Linked DNA regions of Pelodiscus sinensis. The protein of the gene in region 2 purifies or fractionates together with the protein of the main gene of each other region. This does not show direct contact. Links are inferred from orthologs where the notes say so. Each region holds a gene or a part of one and is shown on either strand. Other genes may lie near its edges. The genes, in order: CALR, HSP90B1 and OS9.

What was found.
Region 1: the proteins of HSP90B1 (region 2) and CALR fractionate together in Homo sapiens (co-fractionation; 4 studies listed by BioGRID, with this or other methods). This does not show direct contact. The link is inferred for Pelodiscus sinensis from reciprocal best matches to the Homo sapiens genes HSP90B1 and CALR.
Region 3: the proteins of HSP90B1 (region 2) and OS9 purify together in Homo sapiens (affinity purification with mass spectrometry; 6 studies listed by BioGRID and IntAct, with this or other methods). This does not show direct contact. The link is inferred for Pelodiscus sinensis from reciprocal best matches to the Homo sapiens genes HSP90B1 and OS9.

What each region holds. Positions count from the first base shown.
Region 1 is NC_134729.1:13,045,180-13,052,420, reverse strand, and holds the start of CALR (calreticulin), read left to right. Parts: upstream 1-4,145; 5' UTR 4,146-4,235; coding exon 4,236-4,323; intron 4,324-5,347; coding exon 5,348-5,449; intron 5,450-5,999; coding exon 6,000-6,203; intron 6,204-6,884; coding exon 6,885-6,979; intron 6,980-7,102; coding exon 7,103-7,241. UniProt on the Homo sapiens protein: Calcium-binding chaperone that promotes folding, oligomeric assembly and quality control in the endoplasmic reticulum (ER) via the calreticulin/calnexin cycle.
Region 2 is NC_134711.1:98,350,934-98,358,388, forward strand, and holds the start of HSP90B1 (endoplasmin), read right to left. Parts: upstream 3,060-7,455; 5' UTR 2,919-3,059; coding exon 2,870-2,918; intron 2,343-2,869; coding exon 2,243-2,342; intron 545-2,242; coding exon 403-544; intron 322-402; coding exon 205-321; intron 1-204.
Region 3 is NC_134729.1:2,614,415-2,621,398, forward strand, and holds the start of OS9 (protein OS-9), read right to left. Parts: upstream 3,054-6,984; 5' UTR 3,020-3,053; coding exon 2,867-3,019; intron 530-2,866; coding exon 353-529; intron 1-352. UniProt on the Homo sapiens protein: Lectin component of the HRD1 complex, which functions in endoplasmic reticulum (ER) quality control and ER-associated degradation (ERAD).

The DNA.
Region 1 (7,241 bases), on a different chromosome or scaffold from region 2:
ACTGGCTTCTGCCAGTATCCAACACCACTTGCCCTGGTGGCTCTGCTCAGTGTTTTGTGATCTCTGCTGCCCTGCAGGCTTGCACCCCCCCCCCTCCCCTTTCAAAGCTCTGGGAAGTATCTGGCAGTTGAGCGAGCTGCTCTGTTTGGGGAAACAAATAAGGAAGAAATCATTGGAAGGCTCCTGTTCTGACCTGCTAGGAACACAGTGGCAGGCAGGCTGCTGCTGCAGGGGGAGGGCTGGAGAGGCCGCTGTGCTGCTTTGCCGTTCCTCAGCACTGAGAGCTCATAGATCTACAAGGGAATCCCAAGAAGCGCGGGAATCAGCTTTGCTTTCCCACAACTCCGCCTGGTGGGATGCTCCCCCACAATGCTTTGCTCTGTCTGTTAGCAAGGTGCTAGCCAAGTGGCCATGAAATGGTGACAATGGGAGGCAGAAAAACTGGTTTTATCGGTTTTCACTTTCGTTGACTTTTCCACGTCGGCAGCACTTTTGTCGCCAAAATTTCCCAGTGTAGACAGAGCCTAACGTAGCACGATGTGAGTATGGAGAAAACATGGTTCCGTTTATCGAATGGAGGAACAAGTGAAAACAAATGGTGATCTCTAAAATCCAATCGCAGCATGCATCCTAGAGCCTGCACTTAACTAATGAGGTATTTTCCAGTCTCCTAGCACTGAGCTCACCCCAGAGCCTTTCTTCCAGTGCTTTACAGGCCCTCCAGTGCCTATGACCCTCCATTGAGAAGACACGCTGCCAGCAGCCTAGCTCCTCGGTGAAGGATAAGATCTTGTCCCCTCTTCTCTTCTGTTATGTAGCTACAGAATCAAGTTCCTTTCCCCAAAAGACCCTCCCTTTCATCTTTTCTCTTTGCAAGCCCTCACGCTTGACGCTGGCCAAGACAGCAAAGGTCTCTGGGAGCATCTACTGGTTTGTATGCTGATTGAATTGGCCCTGGGCCATGCAATATACACACTCCGGCTACGTCTAGACTGGTATGATTTTCCGCAAATGCTTTTAACGGAAAAGTTTTTTGTTAAAAGCATTTGCGGAAAAGAGTGTCTAGATTGGCACAGACGCTTTTCCACAAGCACTTTTTGCGGAAAAGCGTCCGTGCCAATCTAGACGCGCTTTTGCGCAAAAAAGCCCCGATCACCATTTTCGCCATCGGGGCTTTTTTGCTCAAAACAAATCTGAGCTGTCTACACTGGCCCTTTTGCGCAAAAGCTTTGCGCAAAAGGACTTTTGCCCGAACAGGAGCAGCATAGTATTTCCGCAAGAAGCACTGATTTCAGACAGTAGGAAGTCAGTGTTCTTACGGAAATTCAAGTGGTCAGTGTAGACAGCTGGTCAGTGTAGACAGCTGGCAGCTAGACACAGCCACCCTGACAGAAAGGGAAACATGGTTGTTCCTTCCTGCCTGGGGACTGCTTTATCTCACAGACCTTGAGACATGATTCCTTACATATCCACACATCCGCTTTGCAATCATCACAATGTCCAGTGTCTTGCTGGCTTTGGGTAGAGACTTCACAGGCCACCGTTTGGCATGCTATAATATAGATATTAGCCCCACAAGATCCCTCTAACTCTACACACGCCTCTGTCCTCTGCCAGCTGGTATCAAGGGGTCGCAAACCCCCTCTGCTACTGGAGGCCCTTTTGGTGTATGTGTGGTATATTATGCAATTGACAAAAGGAAGAACCCAGTGCGCAGAGCCAACAGCCAAAAACCTGGTGCATGGAGTGGCAGCAGGAACCCCAGGTACTAGGCCAGGAGCCTGGGGTGCTGTAGCACTCCTTATCCCCCTAGTTCCCATGCCTATGGCCAAAAGCCCCTTAGGGAAGCACCCTGGGATTTGGCCCAGTGATCACCCATCCAGCCTAGCTTCCAGGATCTGAACTGGACTCAACGGCTCTGTTCTGCACAGGCGGTCCTTTGGGGAAGTCGCACTCCCTTGGGAAAGTCACGGTCCTACCAGCTCAGAACACGATAGCTGCTGCTTATCTGGGATCTTCTTCTTCATGATGCTGTGGTTAAGGGAGAGATGAGGCACCGAGATTTGTAATAACGAGAAACCCAACAAGTCCGACCTCTTGGGCAGCCTATCCTTACAGACACTCAAACTAGTTCCCTCTTTCTTTTCCTCTGTAACTTATCTCTCTGGCACACCCTGCCCTGCCATCTCTCTTGGGCCTTGCTGCCAGCTAAACCGTTGGGGTTGCAAAAGAAAATCCGTTTGTGTGGCAGCCCCATGGGGCTGGGGAGCTCGTGTAATAGAAATCTTAGAGTTCAGTGGCACAACAGACCCCAAGAATGGGGTGAGATTGGACAGCCTGTCTGTTATGTAAATGATGCTAGGCAGACAATGATAAGAGGACAAGGACATCTGTGTTCAGGGAGGCCAAAGGTGATGGGCACTATAGAAAATCCACAGATAGTGTGGATGGGGTAAAGAGGGCTGCATGGTGGGGTGCATATGGGGATGGAGAGAGGGATGTGTGTGGATGGAGGGGTGAGTGCATGTGGGGACAGAGGAATTACCAGTGGGGTGTGTATGTTTTGGGATAGAGAGGGGGCATGTATGGAATGCGTGCATAGTGGGGTGTGTGAGGGATGGGTGAATGGGAGTTTGAGTATGGGGCTAGAAGATGTATGTGGGGATGGGTGGAGGGAGGGATGCGTATGGAGATTGAAGGAATTGGTGGTTGAATAGCGAGGTGCATATGGATTTGAGTGGAGAGATGCTATGTATGGGATGGATGGATAGTGGAGAGTGTAGCGGGGTAAGGGTATGGATGAGAATGGAAGGGTGTTTATGGGGATGGGTGGTTAGTGGGGTGCATGAAGGGATAGGTGGTTAGAACATGTAGGTGTGGATAGACAGATACTCTATTAAAACCGTATCTCAGAATCCTCTGATTGAGGGTCCTGAATTGGCCTGGGGCAGACCCCTGCTTACTGGCAGTCTGGGCACAGGTTAGCCAGGCACCTGGCTGGCCATCTGCTGGGTATGTGTAACGTCCCAGAGCTGTTTCCTGTTAGCTGGGGGTTTTGCCCCTGTTTTGAACAGTGTTGTTCTGAGCTCTTAAACAGACAGCTAGTTCCATCTGTGAGATGGCTGCTTTTTTGTGCCAGGCAAGGAATCCCTATACAAACAGCCCCCACAACCCACCTCAGAAACAGCTGCATCTCAGCATTGGGTGAGGGATCCCTGAATGAACAGCTGCTGTGCCCCACCCCAGAAGATGCTGCATGTTAGTAGTAGGGAGGATAGTAAATAAATAAGCCAGGGAAGCTGCACTTCAGAGATCTTTGTTCACACAGCTTGCAAATCGTGTGCACTGCTGCAGGAGGGGCTGTAGAAATGGGGAGGCTTTGGTATTAGAACTTCCTCCACAGTAGAACCTTTAGCTCTTTACCATGCACAGAGCCCTGGCACTGGCTATTTCTCTTCTTTAGGTTTCCTGGACAGACTTTACGAAGGCAAAGATGAAACATTTTGGGGCCTCTGCGAGAAGCCGTGCCTTTAGCTGGGGACTCACAAGCCTTCAGTGAAGGTAGGTTGGTCTCTTCACAGAGGGGAAAGTGGGGCCTAAGTGAGTTGACCGAAACCTCAGGAAAAGTCAGTGGCAGAGCAAAGACGTCCTGGCTCCCAGCTGCTGTCTCCTGGACCCCTCCCAAAGAGAGGCTCGCAGCCATGGACCCCCAGGTTAGCATGCATCACCGCCCTGTACCCAGGTCTCCTTCCTCCACTGGGGTTCTTTTATCACCTGCCCCGCTCGTGGTTATTATGGGCTGGGCTGGGCTAGGGTGACCCCCATTGACCAGGGGTGAGAACGAGCCTGATCAGCTGTGAGCTGGCCCTTTAAGAGCGCCCGAGAGATCACGTGACCTGACAGGCGGCGGCGACGCAGCCAGCGAGAGGAGGAGGCGTCTCCCCCCGAACGCGTGGTCGCTCTTCATTGGCCGAGCCCGACAACCAATTGCAAGCGGCCATCTGGGACGCCAACGTTCGGGGGCGCAGCCTCACTCGTCGCGCGGGGTGCCCGCCAATGGGAGCGCGCGCCGCGAGGGCACGGGCCAATGGGGAGCTGGCGGGGGCGGGGGCCGGGCCGGGCCGCCTATAAGAGCCGTCGCCGGCGGCGGCGCGCCCGCAGTGTCCGGTGCGCCGCTAGGTGGGGGCGTCTCGAGCTGTGCAGCTTCCCGGGTCGCGAGCGTGGGACCCAGCGCGATGAGCCCGCTGCTGGCGCTGTGCGGCCTGCTGGGCCTGGCGGCGGCGGGGCCCGCCCAGCTCTTCAGGGAGGAGTTCGGGGACGGAGGTGAGGGGGGGGGGTCACGGCCGGGGGGGGGCCCGGGGACACCGCCCCCCCCTTTGACTCCTGCACCCGAGACCCGGGCCTGGGCCTGCCCCCACCCGGCCTGTTGGCCTCCTCCGGGGGGTGCGGAGAGTCCTAGAGACACCCCCCCGCTGGGAGGGGCCCCCCCCACCCCTGCTCGAGCATCGCCCGCCTGCTCTGCACGGACCGGTCCGTGCTCGGGGGCACGTGGGGGGGGGGCAGAGCGGGGCCCGGGGGGGGCCCGGGCTCAGCCCCTCTGTGCCTGGAGGGGTGGCTGGAAGGAATCTGGCGGCGGTGCAAGCCTGCAGTTGTAGGTGAAGCCCCCCCCCCCCGCATTTCTCATGCCCAGCTGGAGCCGGTGTCATAATCTGTTTGGGAGGCCAAGAAGCCCCGAGGTGAGCCTGGCTTGCTCCTTTGCTTCTTGTCCCTACGGGAGCTTTGAGAGACTGGCCCAGCCACTGCAGAGGGATGTACCGGCACCCTCAGGGCGCGCTGATCCGAGGCACTAATCAGCAATATAAGCTGTTATACAGATGCTATGTTCCATGTTGGAGGAGGCTGCATTTCAGCAGCAGGTGACTCAGTTCCTGGGTATTGTCTTCTAGTCGGGAACAGCTAGTGCTCATGTGAGGAGGAATGCAAGATTCTGCTCTGCACTTGACCATGCCTGAGGCAGAAAACTTCCACTCGGCCTGCTGAATGAAGTAGGCATATTATTGCGAGGGGGTGTGTGGGCTAGTGGCTGGAGCCCTGGGAGTCAGAACTTTGCAGGGGTAGTGACTTCCTTTCTCCCTTGGTTCCCTGCCTGGTGAAAGAGACTTACTCCAGGCTGACTGGCTTACCCAACCAGTTTGAGAGCTCTTCTCTGGCCTGTGATGATGGAGCAAGGTAAGGTACAGGGCCTTCCTCAGTCAATGGCCAAGTGTGGGCTGGGTCTGTAGGTCACATTCCCACCTTCTGAGAGCTAGGGCCTGTTCAAACTGATGCCTGGGTCTCTTCCCCACAGATGCCTGGACAAGTCGCTGGGTGGAGTCAAAGCACAAGTCAGACTATGGGAAGTTCAAACTGACGGCAGGGAAGTTCTATGGGGATGCTGAGAAGGATAAAGGTGAGAAGTTGTGTGTGCGCGTGCGCGTGCTGCATTCTGCTATCCCTCCGGGGATGTACTGAGGAGATCGGGGCATCTTTTCTTAACTATCTTGCCCATTGGCTCCTCTGGCTGGTTCCTACTTGCCTCCAAGTCACCCAGCACTTCTATAAATACCTTAGCATCAAATCAGCCCAGTACATCCTTCTCATCCTACTCTGGCTGTAATGGGTTAGCTTTCTGGGTGCTGCTTGGATCGGGTGCTCTCTGGGACAGGACTGGCTTTCTGCACAGTGGAGCATGGGTCCATGACTGACAGAACCCCATAATGCACCTATGTATGTGGCTGGAGGAGGGATATCTCTTTGCTGCCTTGTGCCCTGTTAGCTTTATGTTAGTGGCATGGGGCTCTGTATGCAGGCACCATGCTGCAGAGTGCTGAGCATGAGCAAAGAGGCCTGTTGCCCAGATGTGCTGAGCTCTGAGGCCAGCTGAGCTGTGAGGCCAGCTATGTGAGGAATCCTGCTCCCCTTAGCTGGCAGCTCATGACTCTCTCCCCTCCCCTTGCCAGGCCTCCAGACAAGCCAGGATGCCCGTTTCTACGCCCTGTCCGCTCGCTTTGACCCCTTCAGCAACAAGGACAAGACCCTGGTGGTGCAGTTCACTGTGAAACATGAGCAGAACATTGACTGTGGTGGTGGCTATGTCAAGCTCTTTCCCTCAAGCCTGAGCCAGGAGGACATGCATGGGGACTCGGAGTACAACATCATGTTTGGTGAGTGGCTCTGCGTGGGACAGCTCCATAGCCTTTGCTGGCTGTGGATTACCCACATGGGCCTGGACTGAGGTTAGGGTCTCATGCAAAGCAGGGTGGGGCTTGCAGTGTGTGGATGGGAGCTCTCCCAAACCTTGGGAGTGGCTGGGGGTGCTTAGTGGCCCAGCATTGTGCTAGGAAGCTGCTGGATAACCCATGTCATATGGGGCCAGTGGTGTGGCTGGATGGCTTCAGCTGCCAAGGGGGTTCTTTGCTTCATGCCCTAAGAGGTCATGCATTGTTGCTCTGCTCCACCCCAGTGGTAGATGAAGGAACTTGAGACTTGCACCTGAAATACAAACTCTGTCCCGTAACTCCCTGGGATGGTTTCTCCTGAGAATCCTAGAGACCAGCCTGTCCTAGATGGCTCTGTTCCCCCAAACATTGCCCCTGTCTTTTCTGCTGAGTGGCCTGCCAGGTTGGGGGGAGGGGAGAGTCTAGTCTGAGCCCCATTCAACACCTACTCTCCCTGCTGAACCTGTCACTAGCTCCACACTGGGCCCTCTATTTGTGAGCTAGCACCTGGTCCTGCTGGGGCTGCATTTGCCAGCTCTCTGCACTGGAACAAAGTGACTTGTCATTTCAGGCCCTCCTGAGCCAGGCTGGTTTGCTCTGCTAAACTGTGGCTTGTTTCCGATCCAGGCCCTGACATCTGTGGTCCAGGGACCAAAAAAGTGCATGTGATCTTCAACTACAAAGGGAAGAACGTTCTGATCAACAAAGACATCCGCTGCAAAGTGAGTATCCTGGCATAGGGCTCCTGCCCTGCCACGGGGGCCTGGAGTGAGATCTCCTTGGCCTGGAGCGGAGAGCCTTCCTCCAGCCAGGTCCTCTGATCCCCGGCTCCTTCCCTTGCCCAGGACGATGAGTTCTCCCACCTCTACACCCTCATTGTGCGGCCTGACAACACCTATGAGGTGAAGATCGACAACGGCAAGGTGGAGTCAGGCAGCCTGGAGGAAGACTGGGACTTCCTGCCTCCCAAGAAGATCAAGGATC
Region 2 (7,455 bases):
AGTTTAGACATAAGCGCAGACGTGCCAATGATTTATGGTCATAGCAGGGTACCAAGTTTTTACAATTTTAAAGTGCTTTACAGACTGGGATATGCAGACTTAAAATTTGTTACCTCAAGCAAGGAAAAGTGAAGTTTTTCCAATGGGGAGAGGGTGGGGTGCGTAACAAATCAGCAGATTATTGTACAAGCTAGCAGCTCTTACCTTTATTTTAACAGTGAGTTCTTCATTACCAGAAAGGGCATTTTCATCAGTCAGTGATATTAGCCTTATCTTATCTAGAGCATCAGAAGCATTTGAAATCAATTCTCTCAGGAAAATCTGAAATGAAATATTTAGGAATAATAAATGTTATGCGAGAACTATACATATTGACATTCCCTGGATAAACATCCGGCTTACCTCCTTGTTTTTGTATAAAGAATTGATAATGAGTTTCATCATTCTGTTAACTTCAGCTTGGAATGCAAACTTCTCTGATTTTTCTCTGATTTCTTTTATCTGGGATGCATTTAAGCCATCTAATTGAATAGCTTCCTCCTCTCTGTGGAGAGAAAGATAGCAGATCTGTTATTGGACCATATTCAGTTACTATGTAGTGGCAAGAGCAACTGAATTTGAGGTTCCAGACACACACAGGTTACTATAAAGTTCCACAAACCATGACATCAGGATGACAGTTTAGAACTGTTAAGATTTGATTGACAATGGAGCACAAAGCATGAAAACTACTGGTAAAGTCTGGTAACAGGGAGTGCATTAGATGTTGTAAAAGCTGGACCTCTCTACTCAGAAAATCCTACAGGTCCCTTGTCTAAAGACTCTCCTCTGAAGACACAATATATAATATTATCTCTGATATAAAAGTAACTCTCAGCTGTATGTCTTTCTTTCTGTAGCACACAGGCTATTATTTCAAGTGTTCACCATAAGCCAGTGTATTATTGTAATAGCTTTCTTGTTTCTACTAATACTCCATGGGGCTGACTAGAATCAAAGAAAGCCATAAGTACATCAATAATGGGTCAGACCAAAGTTTCATCTAGCCCAGTATTCTGTCTTCTGGCATTGGCCAATGCAAGGTGTCCCAGAGGAAGTGAATAGAACAGGGTGATCCATTCCCTGTTGTCATTCACAGCTTCTGGCAATGAGAGACAAGGGACACCATCTCTGCCCATTATTGCTAATAGTCATTGGTGGACCTATCTTGCATGTTCCCCAAAGTCAGTGACAGATGTTAAATCTGCATTGTTATGTTGAAGTAGTACAATCTGGTTACTGTTTCATACATCATTATTAAGTATTACTTACGATCTACCTTTTAATTTTATTCATTTCAGAAGAAAAAGTAACAAAACATGGGCAATTTGTTTTTTTAAGCCCATCAACTGAAAAGACCAAAGCTCTTAGGTATCTGAAACAGCAGCTTGCTACCCCTTCCAGACCACTGCACTACTGGAATCTGATTTGTCCAGCATAACATCACGTTTCACCTCATTTGAAAGCTATTTGCTTATAAAACCAACAAAAAGACAAAATGTCACATTACTCTTTTATTGAAAGATTGCTTACTTTTATTTTTACCATATGATAAATCAATTGGAAATTACATTTCTATGTACGGCATATACAGCACTATAAATGAATTGTATGCAAATTTAGTTTTCATTCACTTCCCTACTATTTTAGGCACCAAGTTGGAAAACTATGCAAATGTCTAGATGAGTCGATGTACCAGTAGGGCTATGCAGAAATCTGTGTATACATATGTCCCTGATTGAGACCGCCTGCCTTGAAATACATCTTACAGGTTGAACCTTTCTAGTCTGACATGATTTCAGTTAGCAGGATGTCCACCTGTCATGGGTGTGGCCAAGTTTTCCATATGCCATAAAGTTTGTTTGTAGCCAGGAGTCCTGGCTGTGCCTGTTCTGCACCGTTACTTAGCTCCAATTTACCCCTAAATATCTCCTATAAGCCCAGCAAGCTGTGGAACTGCTGGCAATGCTCCTAGATAACACTGACCTCCTATGTTTTGGCAAATTCTCTGGTTCAGCATTGGTCAGGCCCCAACGATGCTGGACTAGAGAGGCTCAGCCTATAGATTAGAAACACAAACCTCTCTCACATTCCATTATGACTTCTTAGGCCAGCAAAAGGATGAGGCAGTAACCCACAGGGGGGGCATTTTAGTGTTTTGCTATAGGGGGCGACAGACCTTTACACAATACAAGGTACAAACCTCTGAACAACTTCGTCGTCAGTCCGGGAGCCCTCTCTGCTTTTCCCCAGGTCATCTTCTACCGTGGCGTCCACATCCAGGTCCTCCGCTCTGACCGATGCTGAGGGAGAAGGGAGCGTTAGAGACCGACTAGCCGACTGGCTCCGCCCCCCCCGGGGGCCTCTAGCGGGCTCAGTCCGGCCCCCGCAGCGGGGGACACGAGGCAGGCGGGGAGAAGGGCGCGGAGCGCTCCGGGCAGCGCGACCTGGAAAAAGAACCCTCCCCCCTTTCCCGGAGTTACACCCGCCCACCCCACTGGGTGGTGACGCCGCCGCGGGCGGAGACCCCGTCGGGACCAAAGGGCGCAGCGCGCGGCAGCGCCTCGGGGCACAATTCCCTGAGGGGAAGACACTGCCCCCCCCCCCCCCCCCCCACAGCCAGGCGCGCGCCCCAAAGACCGATAACGGGGAGAAGGGCGGGGGCGGGGCTGCTCGCCCCAGGGCAACTCCCGGCCTCACGCAGCGCCGCGCCCCGTCCCCAGGCTTCCCGGTCACTCCCCGGGCGGAGGCCCCACCGGCCCCAACCGCTCCTCGCCAGAAGCTTCTAGAATCCGCGGGCGGGCGGGCGCGGGAGGAGGGGGCGACTCACAGGCCAGGAGCAGGACACACAGAAGAGCGAGTCCCCACAGCGGCTTCATTGCAGCAGCGGGGGTGTCGGTGCGGACTCAGACGAGGACTCGCTAGATCCAGCCCCACGAGCTCTCAGGAAAAGCGCCGAACCTACCGGACCAGCCCGGTAGGGCCCTCCCCCAGCCTTATCACCGTCCGGCACACGGGGTGGGGAGAAGCGCTCAACTCACCGCCAATCAGAGCGCACCACGCCAAACACACAGCCAATGAAGCTGCCTGGGAGGTGGGGCGGGATCTGGTCCTCGCCAATCAGAGCCTTCCATGTGCGGCTTCCTGCGGTCTGAGCGTGGCTACCTCTGATTGGTCACCAGTAAGAAGAGTCGGCCAATCATTTTCCGCGGCTAGTTTAACCGGCCTGCCGTGTATTTCTTTTTTAAATTAAACGCTCGGAAATGTTTGATTCCAAGGCCAAGTGTCGCATCCCCGAATGGGATTTGTGGCTAAGGCGAGAAAAATCGCCACATGGCCGGAGAGATCTGAAGTACTTCCGGGGCGACCGGAATGTTTGCCCTAGAGATAGTCACTAAGGCAACGTCTACTTCCGGCCGCTGTAACTTCCACGGAGGCAGCTGCAGAGAGGGCGAAGCCAATACGCGCTCCGGAATCGCGCGGGAGTGGCAGGGAAACAAGGCTACTGCAGGATGAGGGCAGCGCGCGGGGAAATGCTCCCGGCTTAGGGCACGTGGATTGCAGACTCCCCGATAGAGCTACGGCCGCAACCCCCAGCATGCATCGCACCCCGATACCACGTGCCGGGACTTGCATCCGTGCTCCGCATGGCCTGATGGGAATCGTAGTTCCCATGTATTCTCGGCGAGTGGAGAGGCGTTGCATGCTGGGAGTTATAGTCCTTCGGCCTCGCTCTGCGGGTCTTTATTCTGGGCCGGCATCGCGCCCCTTGCTGGCTGGTAGCTGCAGCCTAGTGGATTCGGGATGTTCGATATCGAGTATCCTCACGAATTCCTATCCGTTAGTCGACTATTTTGTAGTTCCCAAGGTGGGGGCTGGCAGCCAGCCCGCTCCAGCCTCACTGCCAAGGAGCCCCCTGCCACTCCACACTGGAGTTTAAAAAACAGCCCCCTTCATGGACGGGCTGCCTGTTGCCCTGTGCTGCTGCCTCTGATAAAAAGGCAGCAGAGCAGGGTGACAGCAGCCTCTGTCTGGGGGGAGGTTTGGACCCATCACAAGACAGGACAGAGCCAGGCTGCTGGTTAGCCTGCTAAAAAATTTACCAGCAAGGCAGGGGAGGGAAATGCGTGTAGTCTATAGCATTAACCTATAAGCTTTTGCTTATCAGTTAATCAAGTCTAACTGGCAAGTTACTGTGCCCTGCAGCAGACCCTGAACACATGATTCGCGCTGTCAGCCCTCTCTTATGGCTGCATCTGACAGGACGGCTGTGTCTAGACTGGCAAGTTTTTCCGCAAAATCAGATGATTTTGCGGAAAAACTTGCCAGCTGTCTACACTGGCCGCTTGAATTTCCGCAAGAACACTGACGATCTCATGTAAGATTGTCAGTGTTCTTGCTGAAATGCTATGCTGTTCCCGTTCAGGCAAAAGCCCTCTTGCGCAAATGCTTTTGCGCAAGAGGGCCAGTGTAGACAACGCGGTATTGTTTTGCGCAAAAAAGCCCTGATCGCAAAAATGGCAATCAAGGCTTTCTTGTGCAAAACCACCTCTAGATTGGCACGGATGCTTTTCCGCAAAAAGTGCTTTTGCGGAAAAGCGTCCGTGCCAATCTAGTCGCTCTTTTCCGCAAATGCTTTTAACGGAAAAACTTTTCCGTTAAAAGCATTTGTGGAAAATCATGCAAGTCTAGACATAGCCCTACACTATTACATCCCTACTCCGGATGGGGCTGGAGGCCGAGGGTGGAGCCAAGCCCTGCAACCCCCACAGTAGTTAAGACTAAGGATGTTAAGTAGCGTGTAATTGACTAATTGAGTAGTTGATGCATTTTTGCATTGACTATTCGATTAGTCAATAGTGCAGTACTACCCCTTTGAAACACTGTGGCAGCATTTCAAAGGGGTAGCACTGCTGAGCTCAGGGTCCAGCTGGGATCAGCTGTGAGGCTCTGCCCCTTTGAAATGCAAGGGGCAGTGCTGCAGGGAGCCTGGGGTTAGCTGGAGTCCCCAGCTGACCCCAGGCTCATGCAGCGCTAAGCTTGGGATCAGCTGTGTGGCACTGCCCTTTTGAAATGCCATAGCGGCATTTCAAAGGGGCAGCACCGCGGAGCCAACATCAGCTGGGATCAGCCTCCCTGTCCCGGGATCAGCTGTGTAGCGCAGACTCTTTGAAACGCCGGGGATGGTGTTTCAAAGGGACAGCACCACACAACTGATACTGGGCTCCGTACTGCACTGCCCTTTTGAAATGCCATGGCAGCATTTCAAAGGGGCAGCGCAGCGCCCGGGTCCAACCCCCAAGGGGGTGGAGGAACAATTAGAACTAGGGGTCACCAAATGAAATTAATGGGCAGCAGGTTTAAAATAAATAAAATGAAGTTCTTCTTTGTGCAACTCACAGTCAACCTGTGGAACTCCTTGCCTGAGGAGGTTGGGAAGGCTAGGACTATAACAGGGTTTAAAAGAGAATTAGATACATTCATGGAGGTTAAGTCAATTAATGGCTATTAGCCAGTATGAATAAGGAATGGTGTCCCTAGTCTCAGTTTGTCAGAGGGGAGATGGATAGCAGGAGAGAGATTGCTTGATCATTACCTGTTTGTTTCACTCCCTCTGGGGCACCTGGCATTGGCCACTGTTGGCAGACAGGGTACTAGGCTGGATGGACCTTTGGTCTGACCCAGTATGGCCATTCTTATGTTCTTATGATTAGTCGACTAGCCTGTTGACTATCCGATAAGCATTTGCTTATCAGATAGTTGACTAGTTGACTGATCCTTAACATCTTTAGTTAGGACCAGGTTTTTAAAGGTATTTAGATGCCTAAGGATGGTGACAGTGACCCATGGGCACCAGCTGCATTGTTAGACTCCTAATTCCTTTGAAAATGTGCTCGAGACACTTGCCATCCCAAATCAGCAACATTCCTGCAGCCGCCACTTTCTTTTGCACTTAAGCATGTCAACCCTCCCAGCTTGGCTGGGAGTCTGCTAGATTAGGCCGCAATCTCCTAGTGAGGTTTTTTTTTCAGTTAACTTTTTTGAGATATGGGAAATGTAAATAATTCATTGCCACTCCTCTGACTTTGGGGGGTTAGGGTAAAATGGAACCCAGATCTAAATTAACTCTGTTATTGGCAAGAAAGTGGATTTACCTAAATCTGACAATTACACAGAAGAAGAACAATTGTTAGAAAGCATTTGAAAGAGTTAGGAAAACTTTTCAGAAAGGCAGGGTTTGTCCTGTTCATGCAGAGGTCATGGCATAATCTGAAATTCAGTGTAGCTAAGTGTTGACTGCTGTACTTTGATTATATTGTTTGCATATTGAAGTTCACTTTCATTAACATTCCATTGAAGTGTACAGTACAAAGGCAATATATAAGAAACCGTGGCCAAGTCCAAAAGGAAGTTTGATCTCTTTAAGAAGTAATTTTGCTTAACTAATCTTCATCAGTGTTAAGCAAACCTTTTCTAATAGTTTGTTTTATACTTTAAGGGCCATGAATGCAGTATTGAACAGTCTTACAAACCTTTTGCTGCAAAGCAGTGTAAGTTATTTTTTGTCCTCTGATTAATTGAAGGCAGTTTTCAAGATCTTGGATATATTTCCACATGTGGCATTCAAAATGAATATGAGCATTCTCTCTCAGGGAATGAAACATGAATCACTTTCCAGGCATTAGCACCAAAGTAAAGTGTACTGAAATGGTTTAGTCTTCAGGCTGAAGAATCAGTTACATTATTTCTATAAAGCAAATATTCTTTAGATAATTGAATGTGCTGTGATTATTAGGAATGTAAAAGGTTAACCAGTAAGCTTTACCCTTAACAGGTGAGGTTTACTGGTTCCAGTTAATTAGGTCTGGAGTAAGGATGTTAAAATGTGATTAATTGACTAGTTGCCTACTCGATGGAATTTCCATCAACTAGTCGACTATTCGATAGGCACTTCCGCATTCCTCCTTTGAAATGTACAGGAGCTCCCAGTGGGGCCTCAGCGGGGGCTCCTGTACATTTCAAAGAAGGAATGTGGAACTCCACATACAGTCCGGGGTCAGCGGGAAGTCCCGCTGACTCCGGTATGCACGTGGGTGCCTTCTTTGAAATGCACAAAAGTCCCCAGCGGGGGCTCTTGTGCATTTCAAAGCCATGGAGCCCGGGATCAGCGGGGGACTCTCAGTCCCCCACTGACCCCAGGCTCCATGCTATGCTGCATGCTGCTAGGAGCCCGGAGTCAGCTGGAGATTCCCCAGCTGATCCCGGGCTCCCTGCGGCATTTCCCTGCAGCTACCCCTTTGAATCGCGCAGATGCGCGGTTCAAAGGGACAGTTGCAGGGAGCCTGGGATCAGCTGGGGAGTCCCTAGCTGACCCCAGGCTCCTAGCAGCATGCAGCATAGCATGGAGCCCAGGGT
Region 3 (6,984 bases), on a different chromosome or scaffold from region 2:
AAAGCCCAGGAGCTGCCCCGCCCCCCAGAACCCCACTGGCCACGGCCCCAGCCCAGCCCCCTTAGATCCATGCTGCCGGGGCTGCTGTGTGCCCCTCGAGGGCCGGCAAAGACAGCGGTGGCTCCGTGCCACGGGGGCCTTTCCTCCGTCCGCCCGGACCTCACAACTGACAGCTTTCCTGCTGACGGCCAGGCCGCCGGAGGCCGGGAGCAGGTGCTGCCAGCTCCCCAGGGCCCCCCGAAGGAATCCTGTCTACCCCCTTCCTCCCCAGGAGCCAGCCCGCTTCCAGGGGGGCCAACAGGCCTGCAGACACCTCCCCCCCCCCCAAGCACACAGCATCCCTCGGAGTCACCTTCACGAGGCAGGGCGCAGCCTCCATGGGCCGCAGCAGATCCGAGATGCCCAGGCCTTGGTAACTCTGTGGCTGCTCCTCCGCGTCCAGGTGGATCCTCAGGGCGGCGGTCGGCAGGCGGCACTCGTACTTCTGCTTGTACTTGGACGCCACGACCACCACGTCCTCCGGCTGGCTCTAGGGGGCGGAGGTGGGGCGTCAGCGAAGGAGAACAGGGCCAAGAGGTCTGAGGGAGCAGGAAGGTGCCAGCCTGGTGGCTAGATGCTCTGGCTTCCTCCTGTTCCTGCCATACCAGGCGTCCGGCATCACGCAGCTAGGGAACTAAGGCACAGTGAGGTGACATGACCAAGGCCGCCGAGGCAGTGGCAGGGCTGGGATTGGAAGCCAAGTCTGCTGCTCACCCCACGCCAATCAGAAGAGAGATACTCGTCAAAACCCAAATCCTGCCCAACCCCGGTTGGAAACCGGTTCTGCTCCACAATTCGCCCAGGCACCAGCGGGAATGGCTTTCACTGCAGCTGTGCCCGGATCCCATGGAAACCAGTGCATCCCCATGGGGGGGCAGCCGTCTCAGTTTCTGAGCCGCTTACGGCAGAGTGGCTTCCACCCGCTCTTCAGGGACGCAAGCTAGACCAGAGCAAGCTGCGAGGGAGCTGGCGCCGGCTTCGTGACCTTGGCTCGGCGATACGGCAACTCTAGGGCTGAGCGCGTCAGTTCTGACAGGCAGCATCGCCTAGGGGGCAGAGCGCCAAACTGGCTTTTAACATCAGAACGAGGGGGTCACCAAATGAAATGAATAGGTCGTAGGTTTTAAACAAACCAAAGGACGTTTTTCTTCATGTAGCCCACAGTCGACCTGTGGAACTCCCTGCCAGAGGATGTTGTGAAAGCCAGGACTTTAACAGGGTTCCAAAAAGAGCCGCTGTTTGTCAGAGGCTGAAACTGGGCGACAGAGGAGGGATCACTTGATGATTCCCTGTTCTGTTTGCTCCCTCTTGGCCACTGTCAGAAGACAGCGTCCACGCTGGGGATGATGGGTAACACTTCCTCAATACCGGTCTCATTTAGCCAAACCGCTGCACAACCTGCTTGTTTAGATGAGGCCTAAACGACTTGCCCAGGGCCGCAGGGCCCCTCTCCGAATTTACACCGTGATGCTGAATGTGCACAAGAGCAGGCTCTCGCCTTTACAAAGCACAAAGTGCCCGAGCCAGCATGTCGGGCAGCAGCTGGCAGGCGCTCTCCGGATGCAAACACAAGCCAACTTCCCAAACTTCTGCTTTTAGCTAAGCCTCCCCCAGGCCAGAATCGTGGAGAAGAATCAGGTGCTAGAAAGCGACTGCGGTTTCAGCAGATTTTGGCCACCCTCCCCGCCGTTCCGCAGGCGGCGTTAATCCAGAGAGGCAGGCAGCCAGAAAGCAGAACAAGGTGCACACAGCTGCGCCAGAAGTCGCTGTTTCAAAGCGCACGGCCGAGCAGCAGCGTGACGCCGCACCTCGGCCGTTCTGCGCCAGCTCCCCGTTGGCACGTGCGAAAGTGAGGCCTCGGATGGTGGAAGTCCCAAGCGCAGCCGCCTGACTCGGCCGGAGAAGTAAACACGGGGGCCGCCGGGGCAGTGGCCAGGGTGCTGTTGAGCCCGGTGCCCCGGCCTATGCCAGGAAGGGGTCGGTTGTTGGGAGCAAGTAAAGGGGATGTGTTTGCACAGGCACCAGGTCGGACGTGGCCCCAGGATGGGGGAGATGGGCTGAAAGGGAGTTTCCACATGGGCTTGGCCCCTGGCACCTACCTACCCCAGCCCCCCTCTCGCTCCAGTCTTACCCTGACCCTGCCAACCAATGCCAGCTCCTAGGACCCCCCATCCGCTCGCTCCCTCTGCCCCAGACCAACCCCCACAGAAACACTGGCCCTGCCCCCACTTTCCCCAGCTAACTGCCCCCGTGCCGGTTCAGTCCCTACACATACCTGTGGGGCCCCTCCCCTCCAGCACCCCCCCTGGCCAGACCTCTCACCTCCCACTCTGGGACCTCTGCCCCCCGCCCCCTCACTTACCCCCCCAACATGCACCTCCCAGACCGACCTGCACATACTTGCCCCCCCAATGCGCCCCCCCAAGCACCTGCCCCCCACGCACCTGCCAGGCCCCTCCCCCACGCACCTGCCCCCCACACACCTTCCAGCCCCCCCCCCGACGGGCCCCCCCACGCACCTGCCAGGCCCCTCCCCCACCCACCTGCCCCCCAAGCACCTGCCATGCCCCCCCGACGCGCCCCCCCACGAACCTGCCCCCCACACACCTTCCAGGCCCCCCCCCGACAGACCCCCCCCACGCACCTGCCAGGCCCCTCCCCCACGCACCTGCCCCCACGCACCTGCCAGGCCCCTCCCCCACGCACCTGCCCCCCCCCGATGCGCCCCCCCACGCACCTGCCCGGCCCCCCCTCGACGCGCCCCCCCACGCACCTGCCCGCCCCCCCCCACGCACCTGCCCCCCCCGACGCGCCCCCCCCCACGCACCTGCCCGGCCAGCACCGGCTCGGCGGCGATCTCGATCCCGTACTTGAGCTCGCTGAGCTCCTGCAGGTTGAGGCTCCCGGCGGCTCCGGGCAGCGGCCGCCCCGGCGCCAGCAGCGCCAGCAGCAGGAGCAGCCCCGGCCGCGCCTCCGCCATCTTCCCCGCGCTCCCGCACCGCGCTTCCGCCCTCCTGCCTGCCGCCTCGCGCGGGCCCGCCCTGCCCGCCGCAGCCAGCTCCGCCATTGGGCCGCGCCTGTGCCAATCCTCTGATCTAGCTCCTCATTGGTCAGTCTCCGGGGAAGGGCCCTCGGAAGCGAGGCCGGCGTGGGGCTGGGACGGGGCTGGCATCTGGCGAGGACGGATTGGTCCGAGTCAGCACTCGCCCGAGCCAATCAGGAAGGCGAGGGCCGCCTGGATGATGACGTCACGCCCGGCTCTTAAAGGGCAAGAGCAGCCCAGAGATGGCAGCATTGAAAGAGGGAAGGAAGATAAATTGTAGCCAACTTTGGGAGCCAAGCTGATTGGTTAAACTGGAGTCACATGATCCACAGGGCTTCAGTCGGACCTAGGCCATGTGGCAGGCGCAGGGGTGGGGCTAGGTGGAGCCAAGCTGCATAGGGCCACTCAGGGGGGCTGACCCACACAATGGCAGGCTCTGTCTACACTGGCATGAATTTCCGGAAATGCTTAAAACAGAATAGTTTTCGTTATAAGTATTTCCGGAAAAGGAGCGTCTACATTGGCAGGCTGCTTTTCCGGAAAAGAGCCCCGAGCTTCATTTTTGCGATCGGGGCTTTTTTCCAGAAAAGACTACTGGGCTGTCTACACTGGCCCTTTTCCGGAACAGTGTTCCGGAATAAGGACTTATGCCCGAGCGGGAGCAGAATAGGTTTTCCGGAATAGCGGCTGATTTTGTACAGTAGAGCGTCGTTGCTTTTCCGGAAATTCAAGGGCCAGTGTAGACAGCTCATTCCGGAAAATCGGCTGATTTTCCGGAATAAGTGGCCCAGTGTAGACACAGCCTGGGGGTTTATGGGGCCCATCCTCAGTGGGAGGTGATGGAGAGGGGACGCTGATGGAGAAAGCCATGGGGAGGGGCATAAGGCAAGGGGGCCAGGCCTCGGCCACAGGGGTGGAACCCCTGCTAGGGGTGCAGCCTAAGTGATGGGGGGGGATCTCCTGTAACCTCTACATGTGCACAGAGCCCCTGGCAGATCCTACTGACATTGGGATACAGCACCGTCCTGTCACCAGCTCTGAGGGTTTGTCTACGCTACAGCCGCATCGCAACGTGTCGACGCTTCTGTGTCAGACGGGTGTTTTCTATGGTGCAGTTAATCCACCTCTCCAGGAGATGGCAGCTAGGCCGACAAAAGAATTCTTCCCTTAATCTAGCCATGCCTACACCAGGGGCTAGGTCTGCCTAATTAAATGACATCCCCTGGACAGGATGTGCCTTCTTCACAGCCCTGAGCAACATAGCAGGGTGGAGTGAATTGCTATGTGTAGACCAGGCCTGAGGCTGTCCTTGGTTCCTTGATCCCAGACTTCCTTGGACACGGTGTGATGTAGTGTCAGTACCTTACTGGTCCCTGTGCTTGGGCTGTGAGTGACCCCTACTGGCCGGTGGCCAGAGCACTTCCCAGCAGGGGGGCTGCCTAAGACCCAACTGGTTGAGGGCAGTGAGGGAACTAGGAAGTGAGTGTTGGGGGAAGGGGCAGTGTGGGGCTGGAATCATGAAGGAACCAGTCTAAGGAGGGGTCTGGAATCGAGGGGCCCAGGGACCCATCTCAAGGGGGCTGAGGCATCCTGGCCCAGACTCCTGTAGGGGCATAGACAGGACTCCAATTAAGGTGCCCACAGCCCGGGTGCATCTGAAATGGGGGGCTAAGGAGGGCCCCAACGAAGTGGGGGTGCACCGGCACTTACCCACGGAGGTGCTGATGGGGGGGACCTAGAGGAGTGGCCAGACGGACCCCACAGGGCCCTGGTCACCACCTGTAGCCAGAGCCAGTGAGGGGCTGGTGATCCTGACCCAGGGGAGGGCTCCCAGCAGGGGGCACGGGCCCCCACCCCAGCAGACACGAAGCCCGGCCGAGCTGGGACTCCGGACCCAAGTAGTGGGGGGGAACAGGTCCCTGTCCCTGCCCCAGCTGCTGAAGTCCAGGCAGATCCCTCCTTGCGGACCTTGAGGGACTGGGCTGACCTGGGGAGATTGCCAGGAGCGGTTCCTGTGGGAGCAGAGATTCCTGTACCGGGAATGGCTGCTTTGAGGCCCCTACCCATATAGAGGAGCCTTTCCAGAAGGGGGTGATGGACATTGTGGGAACCCTCAGCAGAGCGACCCGGACGGGGAAGAAATACGTCTTGGAGGTGGTGGACTTCGCCACCTGCTACCCCGAGGCCGTGGCCCTGCCCTCCATCGAGGCAGACACGGCGGCAGACACACTGCCGACCATTTTCAGCAGGGTGGGGTTCCCCCGGGAGGTCCTCACGGACCAAGGATCTTCATGTCGACCCTGGGAGAAGTGCAAGGTCCAGCACACCTGGGCCTCGGCATATCACCCCCAGACCAACGGGCTGGTGGAGAGATTCGGTGGGACTCAGAAGCAGATGCCAAGGACCTTTATGCACCAGCACCTGCAGGACTGGGACAAGTACCTACCGCACCTGCTGTTCACGTACAGGGAGGTGCCCCAGGAGCTCCCCGTTCGGCCAGGCAGCCCGGCTTTTCTCGGGGTATTTCCCGGGGGAGGGGGAGCTAACGGCCTCAGTGCCCCCCCTTTCCCGGCCCCACGTCTGCCGTCCACCTCGGGGCTTCCCTGGGGTTGGAACCCCCGGGCCGGTTCTCCTCGCGCAGCAGGGGTAGACCTTTCCCCCCGGCTCGTGCCCTCGACCAACTCGTCGGCCTCGTAGTCATTCATTAACTCCACGGCCTCGCTCAGGGTAGAGGGGTGGTGCCGCCTCACCCAGCGCTGTCCGCCGCTGGGAAAAATATTTACAAATTGCTCCAACACGACGAGCTCGGCCACTTGTGGCCCCGTACGTTGTTCGGGATCCAGCCAACGCCAAGCGGCTCGAGTCGCTGGGCCGTCACGTGAGGCCGCGTCCCGACGCTGTATCATTCGCCTCTAAACTTCTGTCGGTATGTTTCGGGCGGAATGCCCATTTGGTCCAATATGGCTTCCTTCAGTTTGTAATAATGTAAGGCTTCCCGGTCGCTTAAGCTGCGGTAGGCCAATTGCGCCGGTCCGGTTACGTAGGGGGCCAGTATCGTGGCCCAATGGGCCTCTGGCCATCGGGCCGCGGTGACGAGCCTTTCAAACGTAGTCAAGTACACCTCTGGGTCGCCCGTTGGTCCCATCTTAGTCAACCTGACTGTCAATCGCGGTGCACTGCCGTCGTCTTCATTCCCCTTCTCGCCTTGGCCCGGGGAGGGCCGGGTCTGGCGCATCCACTGGTCCTGCTGACTCTTGAATTGTTCCGCTAGTTCTCTTACCAGCTGCCACTGCTATTCCTGGTGTTGCAACAACAGCTGCTGGATCAGTAGCGTCTGTTGTTGCTGGCTTTGCCTTTGTGTCTCCTTAATCCACTCCAGAACCTGGACCGGCTCCATCTTCTGGACGGCCGCTTGGGGTCGGCGCCTCCGGCGGCTCGCCTCCCCTCTTTGCTTCTAACGGGGAACAAACAATGCATGGTCCACTCCCCCCTTTTCTGCTCGGGGAGGGATTCCTCTAGCGCCCACGTTCTCCACCACCTTGTGACCGTGTCCAGGGTGGGGCTGCGCCCCGCCCTCTTGGGGCAGTCCCCCTTCGGCCACTGCTGATTCCCCCACGCCCTCGCTCAGGTGCAACTCGAGTCCAGTGTCCTACGTTGTAGGTGCCGGACGAAGCATCCAATGCTCTCCAGGTCGGAGAGGGAGGGGGGCTTGGACCCGTCATCACTCACGGGATCCAGCCATGGGCGCTAAGGACACGGATCCTCCGTGATCTGGTCCAGCTGACGGGGCGCCTAGCTGAAACGCGCCAGCCCACCAACCCTTCTGGTTGTGCCCTGGGCTACTTCCTCTCCCCCATCCACCCCTGACCCGGGGTCCCCCAGCTCACCCCCCCCCCAGCAAC